Coturnix japonica: one gene and its partners. The protein of the gene in region 1 interacts with the protein of each later gene in a pairwise test. Links are inferred from orthologs where the notes say so. Each region holds a gene or a part of one and is shown in the gene's direction. Other genes may lie near its edges.

The links. The genes of interacting proteins can lie anywhere in the genome.
Region 2: the proteins of MAL2 (region 1) and TPD52 interact in a two-hybrid assay, tested with the Homo sapiens proteins (2 studies listed by BioGRID and IntAct). The link is inferred for Coturnix japonica from reciprocal best matches to the Homo sapiens genes MAL2 and TPD52.
Region 3: the proteins of MAL2 (region 1) and ARFIP2 interact in binary tests that used the Homo sapiens proteins (3 or more experiments, as listed by UniProt). The two-hybrid records come from large-scale screens. The link is inferred for Coturnix japonica from reciprocal best matches to the Homo sapiens genes MAL2 and ARFIP2.

Annotation. Positions count from the first base shown.
Region 1 is NC_029517.1:122,947,035-122,952,379, forward strand, and holds the start of MAL2 (protein MAL2), read left to right. Parts: upstream 1-1,848; 5' UTR 1,849-2,017; coding exon 2,018-2,152; intron 2,153-3,440; coding exon 3,441-3,611; intron 3,612-5,345. UniProt on the Homo sapiens protein: Member of the machinery of polarized transport. Required for the indirect transcytotic route at the step of the egress of the transcytosing cargo from perinuclear endosomes in order for it to travel to the apical surface via a raft-dependent pathway.
Region 2 is NC_029517.1:109,520,604-109,525,808, reverse strand, and holds the end of TPD52 (tumor protein D52), read left to right. Parts: intron 1-890; coding exon 891-932; intron 933-1,916; coding exon 1,917-1,965; intron 1,966-2,858; coding exon 2,859-2,975; 3' UTR 2,976-4,251; downstream 4,252-5,205. Other genes in the region: MRPS28 (28S ribosomal protein S28, mitochondrial), read left to right, coding at 4,357-4,605.
Region 3 is NC_029516.1:174,021,727-174,026,275, forward strand, and holds the end of ARFIP2 (arfaptin-2), read left to right. Parts: intron 1-627; coding exon 628-743; intron 744-936; coding exon 937-1,158; intron 1,159-1,479; coding exon 1,480-1,637; intron 1,638-1,727; coding exon 1,728-1,902; intron 1,903-2,197; coding exon 2,198-2,353; 3' UTR 2,354-3,595; downstream 3,596-4,549. Other genes in the region: FH2 domain-containing protein 1-like, read left to right, coding at 4,412-4,549. UniProt on the Homo sapiens protein: Plays a role in constitutive metalloproteinase (MMP) secretion from the trans Golgi network. May have important functions during vesicle biogenesis at certain cargo subdomains, which could be predominantly utilized by secreted MMPs, such as MMP7 and MMP2.

The DNA of each region.
Region 1 (5,345 bases):
ACATACTCCCATCTACTTTTTGACTCTGGTGGACTTATAGCAGCAGTAGTTTGCCTTGCAAACCTCAAGAATCATCAAGTTCCAACCACCCTGCAGCAGGCAGGGGCTGCCAACTTCCATATCTCATACTCACATTGCCCAGGGCACCATCCAGCTTGGCCTTGAACACCTCCAGGGATCTAACAGTGACATTTAGACATTCCTATGGTAGTCTACTAAAAGTGAAGAGTGTCAGTGTTAGAAGGAAAGTGCAGATTAAAACAAGCAGTATTCACAAGGAAGAAAAAAAAAAGAAAATACTGTACATGGTATGTAATCATGAAAAAAAACCTTGCTGCTGGAGTCCACGCTGATTGATTGTATGGCTGGATAACAAAGATAGAAATGTTTATGACCCAGTGTCATTTGTACTTGCTCTTTATATGATAAGCATAATCACATTTCATGTTCCAAATCATAAACTCATCAACCTAGATTTCCACCCACGCACATTTCACCCTGTGCAGAGCAATCTCAGCAGATTTATGGCCAGACTGTGAAGTTAACTGGACATATGTTCTCCAGAATGCAATCCCAAGAAAGAACCACCTACACCTCGTTAATTAGGCACTGGTTGAATCTATTGCCTTCCAAAACAGAACCAGACCAGAACTTAAGTAGGCATGCACCTCCAGAGCCTAGAATCCTTAAAGATAAATGAATGGAACACAGTGTTCATTTCTCAGATTTACCCAGACGAGGTACAGTAAGTATCAATTCTCTCATCTCATAACCAATGGAATAGATTGCTCAGAAAAGAGGAGGCCAAGCTTCTCTGGCTCTGAATGGAGATCTACATCTTGTACATTTAGGAGTGAGTCATCCAGCTACAAGGAGTGCAGCAATGAGGAGAGAGCACATGATAAAATACAAATTGATGCTTCTTCCTCCTCAAAGCTGAGCTAGTATTACTGCTTCTAGATGTGCAATAAGCACAGATGAGTTGTGTTTACAGGAGTTGACTGCTTCCCTACCTAGACTTTGGATTGAGGTGGGAGGACAGGCATCTCAGGTTAAGGTGTTCTGCACAAAGCAGAACTCTGAGAAACATCATGCATCTAACAAGAAAGGAATGCAACACCCTTGCTGGTTCAACCTCCAGAGCAGCTGCGCTTTCAAGAAACCTTAAAACATAGTCTTTTTTATCATAGATGAAGACATTGAAGATGAACATCCAGAAATACTGCATGTAGTAACATTGGCTGAAATAGTACATCACAGTGGACACCTTAAGTCTTCAGTCTCTGGGAAAGCAATGGAACAAGTCCTCCTAGAAACAATTACAAACCAAAAGGAGCGGGCAACCATGAAAACCCAACGTGGATTTAAGAAAAGCAAACTGTGCCTGACTAACCTTATCACCTTCTGGAACAAAATGACATCTTCTAAGCACAGGGGGTGAGCAGTGGATATTGCTTCCCTGGACATCAGCAAGGTACTTCATTTTCAACAGCCCCTCTCCTAGACAGACTAGCAAGGTACAGATTGGATGTGTGGTCTGCAAGGTGGGATGTGAACCTGGCTAACAGGCTGCACTCAGAGGAGTGCTTTTACTTACACAGGCATCCTGTCACAAGTGGGATATGCCAGGAATCAGCACTGGGCCCCACAACGTTCAACATCTACATAAATGATCTGGATGCTGGGATTGACAGCATCCTCACCATGTCTGCTGATGACGCTAAACCGAGTAGTGAGATGGACACATCAGAAAGGAGAGTCCCATTACACAGAGACCTGGACAGGCTGGGAGGGTGGGCAAACACGAACTGTGTGATGCTTAACAAGCTGCTCCCCAGCACAGCCCGCAGCGGGGCAGCCCGTCCAGCCGCGGGGCGGGGAGGGCAGCAGAGTGAGAGGCTGCCGGGGCGGTGCGCCGAGTCCCGCCCGCACCTGTTCCCTCCTCCCTCCTTCCTCCTCCTCCTCGCCCACCTGCCCGCGGCTCCGCGTTCTGGCTGCGCTCGGCAGCAGCAGCGACATGTTGCCCAGAGGATCCTCGTCCATGCCGCCGCCTCCCAACCCCGCTGCCTACTTCCCTCCACCGCGGGTCACGCTGCCCTCCGGCTTGGAGATCCTGCGCACCTATTCCGGAGCCTTCATCTTCCTGGAGATCGTGAGTGCGCGGGCCGGGCTGCCCCGTTCTCCCCTTGTCTCTCGCGTTTCCCTGCTCTCCACACCCGCCGCCCTCCCTCCACCTGCCGCCGTCTCGCCCACAGCGAGGGCGGCCGCGCTGCGCCTCACCTGCCATTTTGTGAGCGGCCGTGTGGGGAAAGATGGAGCCGTGCCCGGAGCCGTGCCCAGGGCGGCTGTGTGTGTGTGTGTGTGCCCTGAAAAGTTCGTGTTATGGGTTCTGTGCGAACTCCTACAAGTGCATTTAGCGTGTACTATCAGGTCTGTACGTAACAGAGCCGCACCTGCAGTCTTGTGGAACTGGAGGAAGGTTGGTTCTACACATTGGCTAAAAATGGAACCCCACGAGCAACCTGAAGGCCTGAAACTGCTGGGAGTTCCGAGCTGAGGCTGGCCATGCGTGTTACATTCATACAGCTGCAATGTAACGCTAGGGAGGACCCAACTAATTTTGTCACTGATTACAACTAATGTTATTGCAGGCATCTGTTGGAAGATGTCTCCCTTCCAACCTGCATTCGATGAAAGTTCTCTGAATCTGCCAATGCATTAAAAAAGACGATGCCGTTTCATCTCCTTTGTCTTATCTGATTACAGCTACAAAACTAAATAGTATGGGATTGAATCCAAATATGATGCGTATCCCTATCATGCGAACTTCAGTGTGTGCATATATATGGTAAAATTTTCAGCAACAGCACAGAAATTACTTGAGTTTGCCAATCCCATTTTCAAGGCTACTTTAAGAAAGGCTTTGTCAAGCCAGTGCCTAATGCCTACAGTTAGTGAGAACAGCAGTTGGGCTCTTAGAAGATCACAGAGCCATAGAATGGCTTGTGTTGGAAGGTACCTCATAGATCATCTAGTTTTTACCCTGTGCTATGGGCAGAGCTGCCACCAACTGGATCAGGCTGCCCAGGGCCCCATCCAACCTGGCCTTGAGCACCTCCAGGGATGGGGCACCACAGCTTCTCTGGGCAGCTGTGCCAGCACCTCACCACCCTCTGAGTAAAGAATTTCCTTCTGACATCTGATCAAAGTCTCCCTTCCCCCAGATCCTATTGCTGTCTGCCCATGTTAAAGAGTTGCTCTCCCTCCTGTTTATATAAGCTCCCTTCTTCAAGCACTAGGAGTACTCTTGAAGTGCCTCCTCTAGGTTTCTGAAAGCAATCTCAGGGCTTGATCTGTGATACAAAGTGCTAATTCTTTGACAGAGAGAACAAAACTGAAAGTTCTTTCACAGCTCATCACCTGTCTTCCTTTCCTTACAGCTGTTTGGAACAATAGTCTGGATTTTGGTGGCTTCTACACAAGTTCCACTGCCTCTGCTGCAGGGATGGGTGATGTTCGTAGCAGTGACTGCGTGGTTCCTGTCCCTTGTGTTCCTGTGTGTCTTTCTCTTCGGTTATTCAAATAGAATCGCTGTCAACTGGAACCAGACAGTAAGATATTTCAGAAATATATTTTTAATAAGTATTAAATATAAATAATATATGTGTTCATTCATATATATTTGTAGAAAATGTGTATTCTGTTTTATAAATTGAAAATGTTTGATGTACTTACACCAAGTCTGAATGTCTGGCCTTCTGTTTATAATAGGAATTCAGAAATGGAAAATGGCAGAGTAAGGCTATGTGGATGACAATGACCTCTCTAACAGTGGAGGCTGAGAGTACCTAGGGAATGAAGCAGTGTACTCTTCCTCTATAAGCACATGAAGGGCATAAGCTGCAGGAAGAGAACTAGTTTAGTAAAACATGAAAATAAATTTATTTAAATGGTCAGAAATATTATGAAGTGGAAATTAGAAAGTATTTTCCAACTGCTAGAAAGGTGAAGTATAAAGACATACCATTTCCTTGAAAACATTACGTATATTTTTGAACACATTGTCTGATGTGATTGCCTGGGGTAGCACCAGACAAAGCACCCAGGTTGTCTCCTTAGTTTCCTAAGACTGTCTTTAGCTGCCTTGTGGGTCTGCTCCTTAAAGCCAGGGCTGCTCTGACAGCTGGTTGTTATAGCTTAAACTAGAGGGAATGGTTTAGAACTAGAGGGAATGGTTTTAAGCTGCGTCAGGGGAGATTCAGGCTGGACATTAGGAAGTATTACTTTTCGGAAAGAGTAGTCAGGAATTGGAATGCACTGCCCAGGGAGGTGGTGGAGTCACCGACCATGGGAGTGTTCAAGAAACGCTTGGATGTGGCACTGAGGAATATGATTTAGCCAGGAAGTATTGGTAATGGTTGGACTAGATGATATTCTAGGTCTTTTCCAACCTTGATAATTCTGTGATAATTCTGTGATATATAGTCAAAGAAGGCATGAGCTGCAGTATGATGTAACTTAACCTTTTTCTAGGAGATATTTGTCATCTTTAGGGGAATCTTGGGGACATTACAGTCTTCATTATGCTCTGCTCAGTTCCTGTCTAGTGTGAAGACAAGACTTAATTCATGCTCTAATGGAGCGCTGTGTCTTGTGCCAGAAGTTCTCACAGACTGTGCCTTCCTATTGAAAAGGGAAGCTGTGGTTCTGTTTTTCACCAACCACGCAGATATCTTGGCTTATTGACTGCTAATTTATCTACTCCTTGGTTGTCGTAAGCTGATTTTTTACTGTGAGGTTTTGAACGCAAGGTGGTATGACTCTAATAATGCTGGGAATGAGTAATAACAGGTAGCTGAACTGCCATCAAAGTGTGAATCGTTTAGAAAAAATCTTCAGAAGTATCCAAACTTCTAAAATATTAAAGCATGTTTGTTTCTAACTGCTCATCACATTCACTTTGCTCCTAGGTCCCTTTGTTTTCTTACTGACAGTCTGTGATCATAGCTGGATTTGTCATTTTCAGCATCAGTATATTTGTTTATCTCTGTGTTCTAGTTGTTCATAGACATCTCATTGAGACTAATGCTCTTAAAAGCAAAGTCATAGAGCTTTGTAAGTTTGTGGCTCTGACAATTTCAAACACCATCGATGGTAACAAACTGGATTATATGAAAATGAGCAGGATACTACTAAAGCAAATATGCATTCAATCTCAGCTTTCCAACACAATGCAGGCAGTAATTAAGCTAATAATGAGTTACAATTACAGAATGCCTTGCAGGGATTTGTGCTGTGACATCCCCACAAGTTATGATGCAACAAAGCCTTGAGCATGTGCATCA
Region 2 (5,205 bases), about 13 Mb from region 1:
TGTGCTCTAAAAACAACTTGGCTGAAGCTGCAACATCAGTGAAGGTGAAAAACAGCAGAAAAGGGGTGTAGGGTAAGGGGATAAAACGTGGCTGCACCTTGCTGATGTGTCAGGACAGCAACTGGCCTCTGTGATTCTGATTCCCAGTACTGTGCACCCACAGTATCCTTCAGATGTGCATCTGCCTTAAGGGGTCCCAACCTTAAGGCAATTTGTTAGCATGTGTTTCATTCAGCGCATTAAACTGTTGGTCTTTGAAGTTATCTGGGAGCTCCTTAGTGTAACTCCAGTCATTTAATAGGAATAGGTACATGTTGTCAGTATGGCAACACTGGCAGGTTACACAAATCTTCATGAGTTTCAGATCAGCATTGGAACTAGGACTTTCTCCTTGTCCCCACCCAGAACCTTTGAATATAGATGGGTGGATCTGCTCTCTCCTGTTAGTTGATTTTATATTGATGAGTGTGAAACGTGTTGTATCGAAGTGGGAACACAAAGTGGGCTAATCCTTGGAGTAGGAGGACTTGACCGATAACTCTTAAGTGTTTGCTTTATACTTGATATCATCACAACTGTGAATGCAGCATGTCTCATTGCTTGGAAGACTTAACAGGTAGACAGACTGCAGCTAAAAAGAAGAAAATAAAGAGTATGTAGTTACTAACAAGCATGGCACCTGAATACATTTGGAAAGGAAGGAGCTGCAGCTTTTGGTCTGTTGTACTCGTGTGTGCATGGCTAAGCAATTTTAAAAAGCAAACCTAAACTGTTTTTATATGACTATTTACCAAAGGTGGTGTCCGGTAAGTCATCTTTCTAAGCCAGTTTCTCCTCTGTCACTTCAACTAACTTCTTGCTTTCTTTTTTTCTTAATGCTGGCAATTTAGTATACGCTCCATACAACATTCGATTAGCATGCCTATTATGAGGTAACGTATGCGTAATCCAGCTGTTGGGTGTATTTGTTGTCAAGTGTGGAATCAAAAAGGAATTTAACTAACAGATAAAAAATGAATGGATTTCATATACTGATGTGTAGGGTGACATTTATTTCTGCTTAACAGTGATGGTATTTCACACCTGGAATGCGACTGAGTGTGCTTTCCTACTCTTTAGAGAGCTGTAACAACTTCTATCTTCTTGTTAGACCTGTAATATTTTGGAAGTTTAAAAGACAGTTGCTTGGTGTTACAACTGTCTATGAAAGCAAGTAAAAAATTTAGTCTTGGTCCAGCAAAGGCAAGCATTTGCCACTCTACACGAGGCAGGAAACTGTACGAGCTATTGTACAAACTGGAAGGCAGCAGTGGCAGCTAATTGGAGTATTAAGGCACTCTTTTGATCCTAGTAATAACAATACACTGAACCTCAATATTGAACACTGTGAGCTGTCCTGCTCTTCTCGTGCATTTATAATCACAGCTGTCTCTAGCAATTAAAAGGCAAAGGGGAGTCTCCATAAACTTACGTTAGCACTGTGAACTGTTCTGTTAATTAAACACACAACCTGTTAAAGTTATTTTCCTATGACAAGCAAAAAAACCCAAGCAAAATAAATCCCCCAAAGAACCCAACTCAGCCAAGTTTTATTCAGGATGGCAAAGTGTTCTAACCCATAAGCCACAAACCTGCTATTTTCCCTTCCATTTTGTCATTAAAGAAGCTAGTGTTGATACTGGCAATTGCTAACTGCAAAAGGTGTGAATGAGCTGCAGCTTGACTGTTGAATTTTAGTTTTGTAGTATAAGTAGAGATCCAGTTATAAGCTATTTTGGGCTATCCTTAAAAATAAGGAAAAAGCCCCAAACAAAATGCATGTTGACATTGGAAAAAAACCACTGTTTGCTTGTTCTCTGATGTTTATACGCTGACTAGATGTGTTTTTAATTCTGTGGTTCCTTTTTGTCCCCTAGAAATTCTCCTACTTTCAAATCCTTTGAGGAAAAAGTTGAAACCTTGAAGGTAAGTGTGACTTGGTGATTGTGGAGCTGTGAATGTGGAGAAAAGACCTTTGTGAGCTCTGGGTGACTTTTTTTTTTGCTTGAATTTTAAAGTTATTGGTAAATTGTCAAGGGGTTCTTAGGTGATGTCTTCCTAAGCACAGGGGAAACAGTTTCTCTGCCTAATGACTTGAGAAGAAAACAAACGTGGAAAATGCCTTAATCAGGTGGCTTAACCTGTATCTAACTTCCACAGACAGCTAGTATAACATACCTAGTGTTATATATTGAAAATACATAGCACAGCTTGGGATGCTTGCCTTGTTTCTGACATCAAATGTCATAAAATGTGCAAGGTCTTCGTGCCTGGATTTTGCAGACAGTGTTTGTAAAAATGAATTGACTTAGAAAAACTTTAAATGCCGGAAATAACTATAAGTAGCTTCTCCAAATTAAGCAAACAAAGCAAAAAGCAAACTCGGCTTTTAAAAATTGCTAGTACATGTAATGAGATTCGGGTTTGACTTTTTTGGGCACACTGGGTTAGGTGAGAAGCATGCAAAAAATAGCATGTGGATCTAATGCTGTCTAGCAAGCTGAGTGTTGCTAGTGCTCACACCACAGTACACAGTACATACTGCACAGAGAAATAAAAAGGTAAACATGTTGCCGTGTAAAAGTATCATAGCTGCTGGGTTTCACTGTGGAACTGGAGATGAGCTCTCAGCCTCAACTGAAAACCATTCCAGATCCTTATGCTTATGATTAAGATCTTGTCCAAATAACCTTCAGATGTAGCTCGCTCCTGGAAGAGTTGAGCTGAAGAGGGTTATTAAGCCGCTTTGTGCAGAGGTGCAGCTAACCTGTGTGCCATATAACTGCAATTTTATACTGAGGCTCTTTCTTATGGTTTAGTCTAAAGTTGGAGGAAGCAAACCTGCCAGCGGGGACTTTGGAGAAGTTCTGAACTCAGCTGCCAATGCCAGTGCCACAGAAACGATTGCAGAAGAGACACAGGAGGAGACGCACTGAGATTCCTGCCTCTGTCCTGCTACCCACTGCCAGATGCTGCAAGCAGGAACCAAGCACACTTGTAACATCCTCTGTGCTCTTTCCACCAGATGTGCTTTTCTTTAGCACGTAGCTGTTGTAACAGATGAATTGATACCAAGCTTGTTGTGGGTTCAGATTATTTTTGAAACTAAAATACGTTGCTTGTTTGGGGTTTTGCGTGGGGAAGGGAATTTTTATGCCTTTCAAGCATTTAAAGGACTTATCCCTTATTTGAAGGCAACCTTTGAAATACAGCGATGAAAAACTCTTTGGAGAAGTTAATTATACTGTACATACGTGTGGATACATAATTCTTTTTGAATCTGTAGCTACTGTTCAACTTAATCATTTTGAATCTACCACTGCTGCCAAACTGAACCTTGCTACTGCACTCCCTTCTCATTATTTCAGTTACGTGTTGCCTGCATGGGACACCAGACTTAGGAGGGACACTCACAGCTTCAAGAAAGGCTTTCAGCAGGCTTTAAACATGTTATTTGTATCAGGCTTACAGCCGTGTGGGAATGTATTGAGTTAAAAGCTTCCAAGAGATGCGAGTGGGGGTAATGCATAACATCTAGAACTTGGGACTTGTCTGTGGGTTACCCAACTAGGAAGGCTCTGTTAGCAAGATGCCTATTAGTGCTGGTTTAGTTCAGTGATGCTGATGCTTTCAACACTGCATTTTGTATGAAATGTTGGGGGGAAAATATACTGTTAGGATCTCCTGATCAGCTGTGAGTCATCTTAATTCACACAGTAGTGTCACATTTACACCAACAGGAATGTGAGGATAAGTCTGGGCGTGAAAGTGGGTTTTCTCTTAGGCATCAACTTGCTTTCGAGTGCTAATGTTGTTTTCCTTGTAGCCTGGCCATTGATAAAACGCCACATCTGTTTGTAGCTGTGAGGGCCCTGTAGGAGCAGGGCACTGATGCTGTTAACACCTAAAGGCAGTGCCCTGTGTCCGAGGGCTGCTCTCCCGCCTGTTGCTTTATGCCATCGTTCTCTGCAGATTCTGCTTTCTGTTTCTGACACAAGATGTGGGTAAGATCATAATTTCTGGCAAAAAATGTGTTTATCGCTGTTCTTAGAACTGGAAACCAGCTTTGAAACAGCTGTGTGTGAAATCTGTGCTCCTTCACCTGCTGCAGATGTATAGAATAAAGGTTCCCCGCCTTTATTAGCATGTCAGTTGCAGTGTATATACGCTCAATTACATGCCCGAAGTTCAATAAAACCATTATGTGTGTAACGTAGTGTCTGTGTGGTGTTGCTGTGGGTCACAGGGCCGATCGGCCGCGCTCGAAGAGTCACGTCCGCCAGGTGCCGCTGGTGCCATCTCTCCCTCCCCTCTAAGATGGCGGCCGGCGCATGCGCCCACAGGGGTCACAGTTCGTGCCCGCCCACCACGCGGGACAACATGGCGGCGCCGGGCTGGAGCCGGGCAGCAGCGCTGGCGGGCGCCCAATGGCGGCTGCTGACGGCAGCGAGGCGGCGGTGCAGCGGAATGCCGCCTGAGGAGACGCCGGCCGCCCCGATGCTCCGGCAGCAGCCGCGGAGGCGGCCGGGCAGCGCTGGAGGCACCGGGGCCATGGATCCCCGACAGGTGAGGGCGCGGCGAGGAGGGCGGGTTGTGCTGCCCTCAGTGCCGCGCTGCCGCCCCGCATCGCCGCTGTGGTGGCCTCGTGTTCCCGTTTGCTCCGATCTGTCGGCTCGTCCCACTCTGTGGAGATTCCCATGATCAGTTATGACTTTTGATCGCTAAGAAGCGCAGCTCCTGCTACATCAGCCTCCCCGCCGCTGCCCTGACTGGCGCTTGTATGGCCGGTAGGGGGGAGCCGCGCTGCGCCGAGCTGTGGGGCTGCCCTTGGGATGCGTATTTCTGTATTGAGAGTGGTGAGCACTGGAACAGGTTGCCCAAGGAGGTTGTGGATGCCCCATCCCTGCAGGCATTGAAGGCCAGGCTGCATGTGGCTCTGGGCAGCCTGGTCTGTTGATTAGCAGCCCTGCACATAGCACGGGGGTTGAAAGTACATGATCATTGCGAAGAGGAGAGATACAGAGACACGACTAACATTTATATAACATAAAATCCAGACTCCAACACAGCAGAGCGTAGTTTATATAACGTTAATAAGGGGCAGATTTATGTGTGAGTCAGAAGTCACCTGGTCCTGGAGGATATGCAGATACCTCTGGGCCTTCA
Region 3 (4,549 bases), on another chromosome or scaffold:
CCCCAGCAGCAGAGTCTACTCACGGTTCTTGTGCTGGGGGCACACGTGGCACTTCCAAACCACAGTGCACCAGGCAATGAGGCCGAGCTGTGCCTGGCTGTGGGATGCACTGTGTGTCTGCCTGGCCTCTCCTCCACCTCTACCATGCCCCGGAGCACAAGGAGTATTGCCTAGCACAGGAGCACCAGGGCCATTGGTGTGCAGGGCTGTCCCTGCCAGCAGCTCTGCAAGTGAAAGGGGGAACAGCATCTCCCATGTGGGCAGCAGCCAATGCAGTGAGCACCAGGGCCTTGGTTATCAATGTCTAGTAGGGTTTTGGGGGCCAGATTCTGTGCTGCAAGAGGCCAAGTCCTGCTGCTTGCAGGCAGGTGACAAATCACAGGACACTGAGGGCTCTGTTGAGCCTGGTAGCAGTGCCTGACTGGCAGGGGGGAGCCGCTGCCTGCCTGCATCTCATGGGGCTGCCCAGGGTGGATCTGCCTGCACCAGGAGTCTGCTCTGCTTGCACTTCATCAGGCCGCAGTGTGGCCCTGGGAGCAGCAGCCCTGAGAGCACTGCAGTGTGGGGTGGGCAGCCTGGCCTGCATCCAAGCCCTGTGCTGAGCCTCACTGCTGTGCTGTGTTCCAGGCTCTGGGCTTCACCAGCCTCATCCCAGCCCACCGGTCGGAGGGGAGGAGGTTGTTCGCGGCATCGCTGTGGAGAAGTTTGACATTGTCAAGAAATGGGGCATCAACACATACAAGGTACGTCGCATCCCTGGCTGATCAATACATACAAGGTATGTCACATCTCTGGCTGTGCAGCAGGGCAGAGAACTTGGGCAGGGGACAAAGGAGCAGTGATGGATGGGGAGCACATCTCGGCACCAGTGCAGCAGCCCTACAGGGATGGGAAGGGACCAGGCCCTGACACCCCTTCCCTCTGCTCTGCCCGCAGTGCACCAAACAGCTGATCTCAGAGAGGTTTGGCCGGGGCTCCCGCACGGTGGACCTGGAGCTGGAGACACAGATTGAACTGCTCCGGGAGACAAAGCGCAAGTACGAGTGTGTGCTGCAGCTTGCACGGGCTCTCACCAACCACTTCTACAGCCTGGTGCAGACACAGCATGCCCTGGGGGATGCCTTTGCGGACCTCAGCCAGAAATCTCCTGAGCTGCAGGTATTCCTGGTGGGGCTGTGGGTTGTGCCTTGTCTCTGCTCTGCCTGGGGAGGAGACCCACAGTGACCCTGGGGTCTCTGCAGCACGGCCTGGGCAACGCTCTGCTGGTCAGCACCGCTGGGCACGTGAGGGAAAGCGGGAGGAGGCTGAGGGCAGGTGCACTGTGTGATTGCTGTGGGGCTGGGGAGAGGTGTGGGGCTTTTGCTGCTGGCTTTTCCTGGGCACAGCTGGAGCAAGGCTGGGTCTGGGCAGTTGGAGGAGGGCAGAGACACAACGGGATGTGCTGCCGCAGCCCCTCACCCACCTCCCTCCCTACTGCAGGAGGAGTTTGGTTACAACGCAGAAACACAGAAACTGCTTTGCAAGAATGGTGAAACACTACTGGGAGCTGTTAACTTCTTTGTATCCAGTATCAACACGCTGGTAAATAAGACCATGGAGGACACGCTCATGACAGTTAAGCAGTACGAGACAGCCAGGTAGGACGGCAGTGTGGCCCGCAGGTCTGGCTGCAGCTATTGGAAGGAGGGACTGCTCTGCAGCTCTTGACTTTTGCTGTCCCTGCGCAGGCTGGAGTATGATGCGTATCGCACAGACCTGGAGGAGCTGAGCATGGGCCCCCGGGATGCCAGCACCCTGTGCCGGCTGGATGCAGCGCAGAGCCAGTTCCAGAGCCACAAGGACAAGTATGAAAAGCTGCGAGCCGATGTGGCCATCAAGCTCAAGTTCTTGGAAGAGAACAAGGTGGGGAAGGCTGCGGGGCACAGGATGGGGCCCTGTCGTGCACGCGTGTCCCTTGGCCCTGCCTTGCAGGCTGCGCTGCCTTGCTGCTCTGTGCTCAAGGTGCGTTTTTGGGGAGCTGTGAGGGGAAGAGCAGGTGAGCTGCCACGCTCCTGCCTTCCACCCGCAGTGGGTGGTCACCTCCCAGCTGGCTGCTGCAGCTCTGTGCTGGGCAGACCTTGTCCTGGCCCATTCCTGCCGTCCCGAGGTGCTGGGCAGTGGGGCTGGGTGGCTGCGTGTTGACTCCTGCTCTCCCCAGATCAAGGTGATGCACAAGCAGCTCCTGCTCTTTCACAACGCCATTTCTGCCTACTTCGCTGGGAACCAGCAGCAGTTGGAGCAGACTCTCAAGCAGTTCAACATCAAGCTGAAGACCCCTGGTGCTGAGAAGCCCTCCTGGCTGGAGGAGCAGTGAGCCCCCCAGCCTGCCCCACCTTGTGCCCCAGCCGGGGAAGCCATGGACCATAACTGGGACCTCTGACTGCTGGTGTAGGGCCAGACCACAATCACGAGTGGTGAGCTGGGGATGCAGCCTCGGCCCTGCTGCTGCGGGGGGCACTAATGGGGCAGGGACCCGGTTAGGGGCAGGTGGAGCTCTGAGTGGGTCACTCCCCCAGCCCGTTGGAGTCCCATCCTGCCCAGCCCTGTTCTCCCTCCCCAGCGCTGACCCCTTGGTGGGATGGTGGATGCCTTCCCAGGACCCCGTAGGGCCAGACACTCCCCTCCTCAGGCTGGGCTGCTCAGACCCCACCAGGCACCTTTGTGGGACAGGGTGGGATGTGCCACAGCCCCCCACTGTCTCCCCATGGTGCAGCAGGGTACGTAGTTCCACGTGTCCCAGCTGCTTTCCCTGAGCCAGGCTTCGCAGGGCTGGGCAGGACGTGCCACCACCTCTGGCAAAAAAAATGTATATTTTGAAATGAAGACAAAGCTGCACAGGGGTGGCCCTGGGGCTGCTGGGTCCCCTCCTGGACCCTGAGAGGGGTGGATGAGGTCCCAGCCCTGGTGCAGCTGGTGCCCGGGGCTCCTGTCTGCTCCTTGCCCCAGACCTGCCCCGTCCCCTCTGGCTGATCCCTGGTGCTCCCAGGCAGCTGCTCTCGCACTCCCCCAGCCTGGCTGGTGCCCCCATCCCCACACTACACTCCCTTTGGCGATGGGGTGGTTGTGCCTGGCTGTCTCCCAGGCCGCAGCTCCCATCCCCTGGCCGGGGCTTTGCCAGCTCCCACGGGTGGACGCAGGAGGGTTTGGCCGCGGCCCTTGGGCTGAGGGCTGCTTTCCCCAGGGCGCTGTGCTCCCAACCCTGGAGGCAGGTGGGCAGCCCCACTCCCTGAGCACCCACAGGCACCTCGAGGGGTGGTGGGGACTCAAACCAAGGACCAAAGGGTGGCTGCATCCCAGGGACGGTGCATGTGCGTGTCCGTGTGCGCTGCGGCTGCGGCTGCGTCTCCGCGTGTGGCAGCGCTGGGGCCCTGCCCGGTATCCCAGCGTGGGGACAAGCTCATCCTGCTCCAGCTGAGTGTTGCTTCGAGCCCCGGCCACGTGCAGCACTTGGGCACTTTCTCCCGAGACAAGACGGTTTGTTTTTCTTGCTAATTTAATTCCTGGTAATTTAATGTCTGGATCTGACAACCTCCCCCCCCCCCTTTCCTGGTGAAGGCTGTAAGACTCCAGAATAAAACAGTATGGATCAGAATAAAGCAGTACAGATCAGAATAAAATAGTGTGGATCAGAATCTTGTGGTGTGGATCCCTCTGTGCACGGCACAGACAGACCTGAGACGGGGATTCCCTGCATGCCAATGGCTCCCCGAGGCCCAGAGCTGGTTCTGCTGCTGCAGTTCTTGTCCCACTTCTCCCTCTGTGGGTCTGGTTCCGTGTGGGGCCCAGCATCAGGGCTCGCCCTATTCCCCTGCCCACCCCAGGGTGCTGCTTTGGCTGTGGGTGCCGTGTGGCCGATGGAGCCCTGTAAGCACCGGGGATGAGGGGGACCAGAAGAGGGGAACGAATTGTGTTACCATCTCCAGCATCGAGCCGAGAGCGCCCTGGGTCGGTCTGACACCGGGTTTAACGCCATCAGCGGGAGCTTCGTAGCGCGGCGGAGCCCGAGGCTGGATGGGAGGAGCACAGAGGGGAGAACGGATCTCGGAGCAGGACGGGGGGAGCCGGGGGGGCTGTGACCGGGGGAGGGCGCGGGGCGTCCAGGTACCGTCGGGTGCGGGCGGCGGGAGCGGTGCCGGGTCGGTGTTTTGTCCCGGTCCGTCGCTGCCCGGCGCGAGGTGAGAACGGGCGGAGGGGCCCAGGAACGAGCTCGTGTCGAGGCCGCTGAGCCGCCCCGCTCCGCCGGGCTGGGACCGGGGCCGGTACTCGGGGGAGCGGCGGATCCTCCCGGGGCGGAGCCGAGGCGGGGCGGGGCCGTTCGGGGCCGTAAGAGGAGCCGGGCGGCCGCGCTCACCCCCCACCCCCCGCCCCGGCCATGGACTCGCAGCGCAGCCCCGCTCCTCCGCCGCCGCCGCCGCCGCCCCCGGCGCTGCCCTCCCCCCCAGCGGCCGCGCGGGGCGAGCGGCTGCGGGCGCTGCACTGGGAGCCGCTGTCCGCGGCGCGGGTGCGGGGC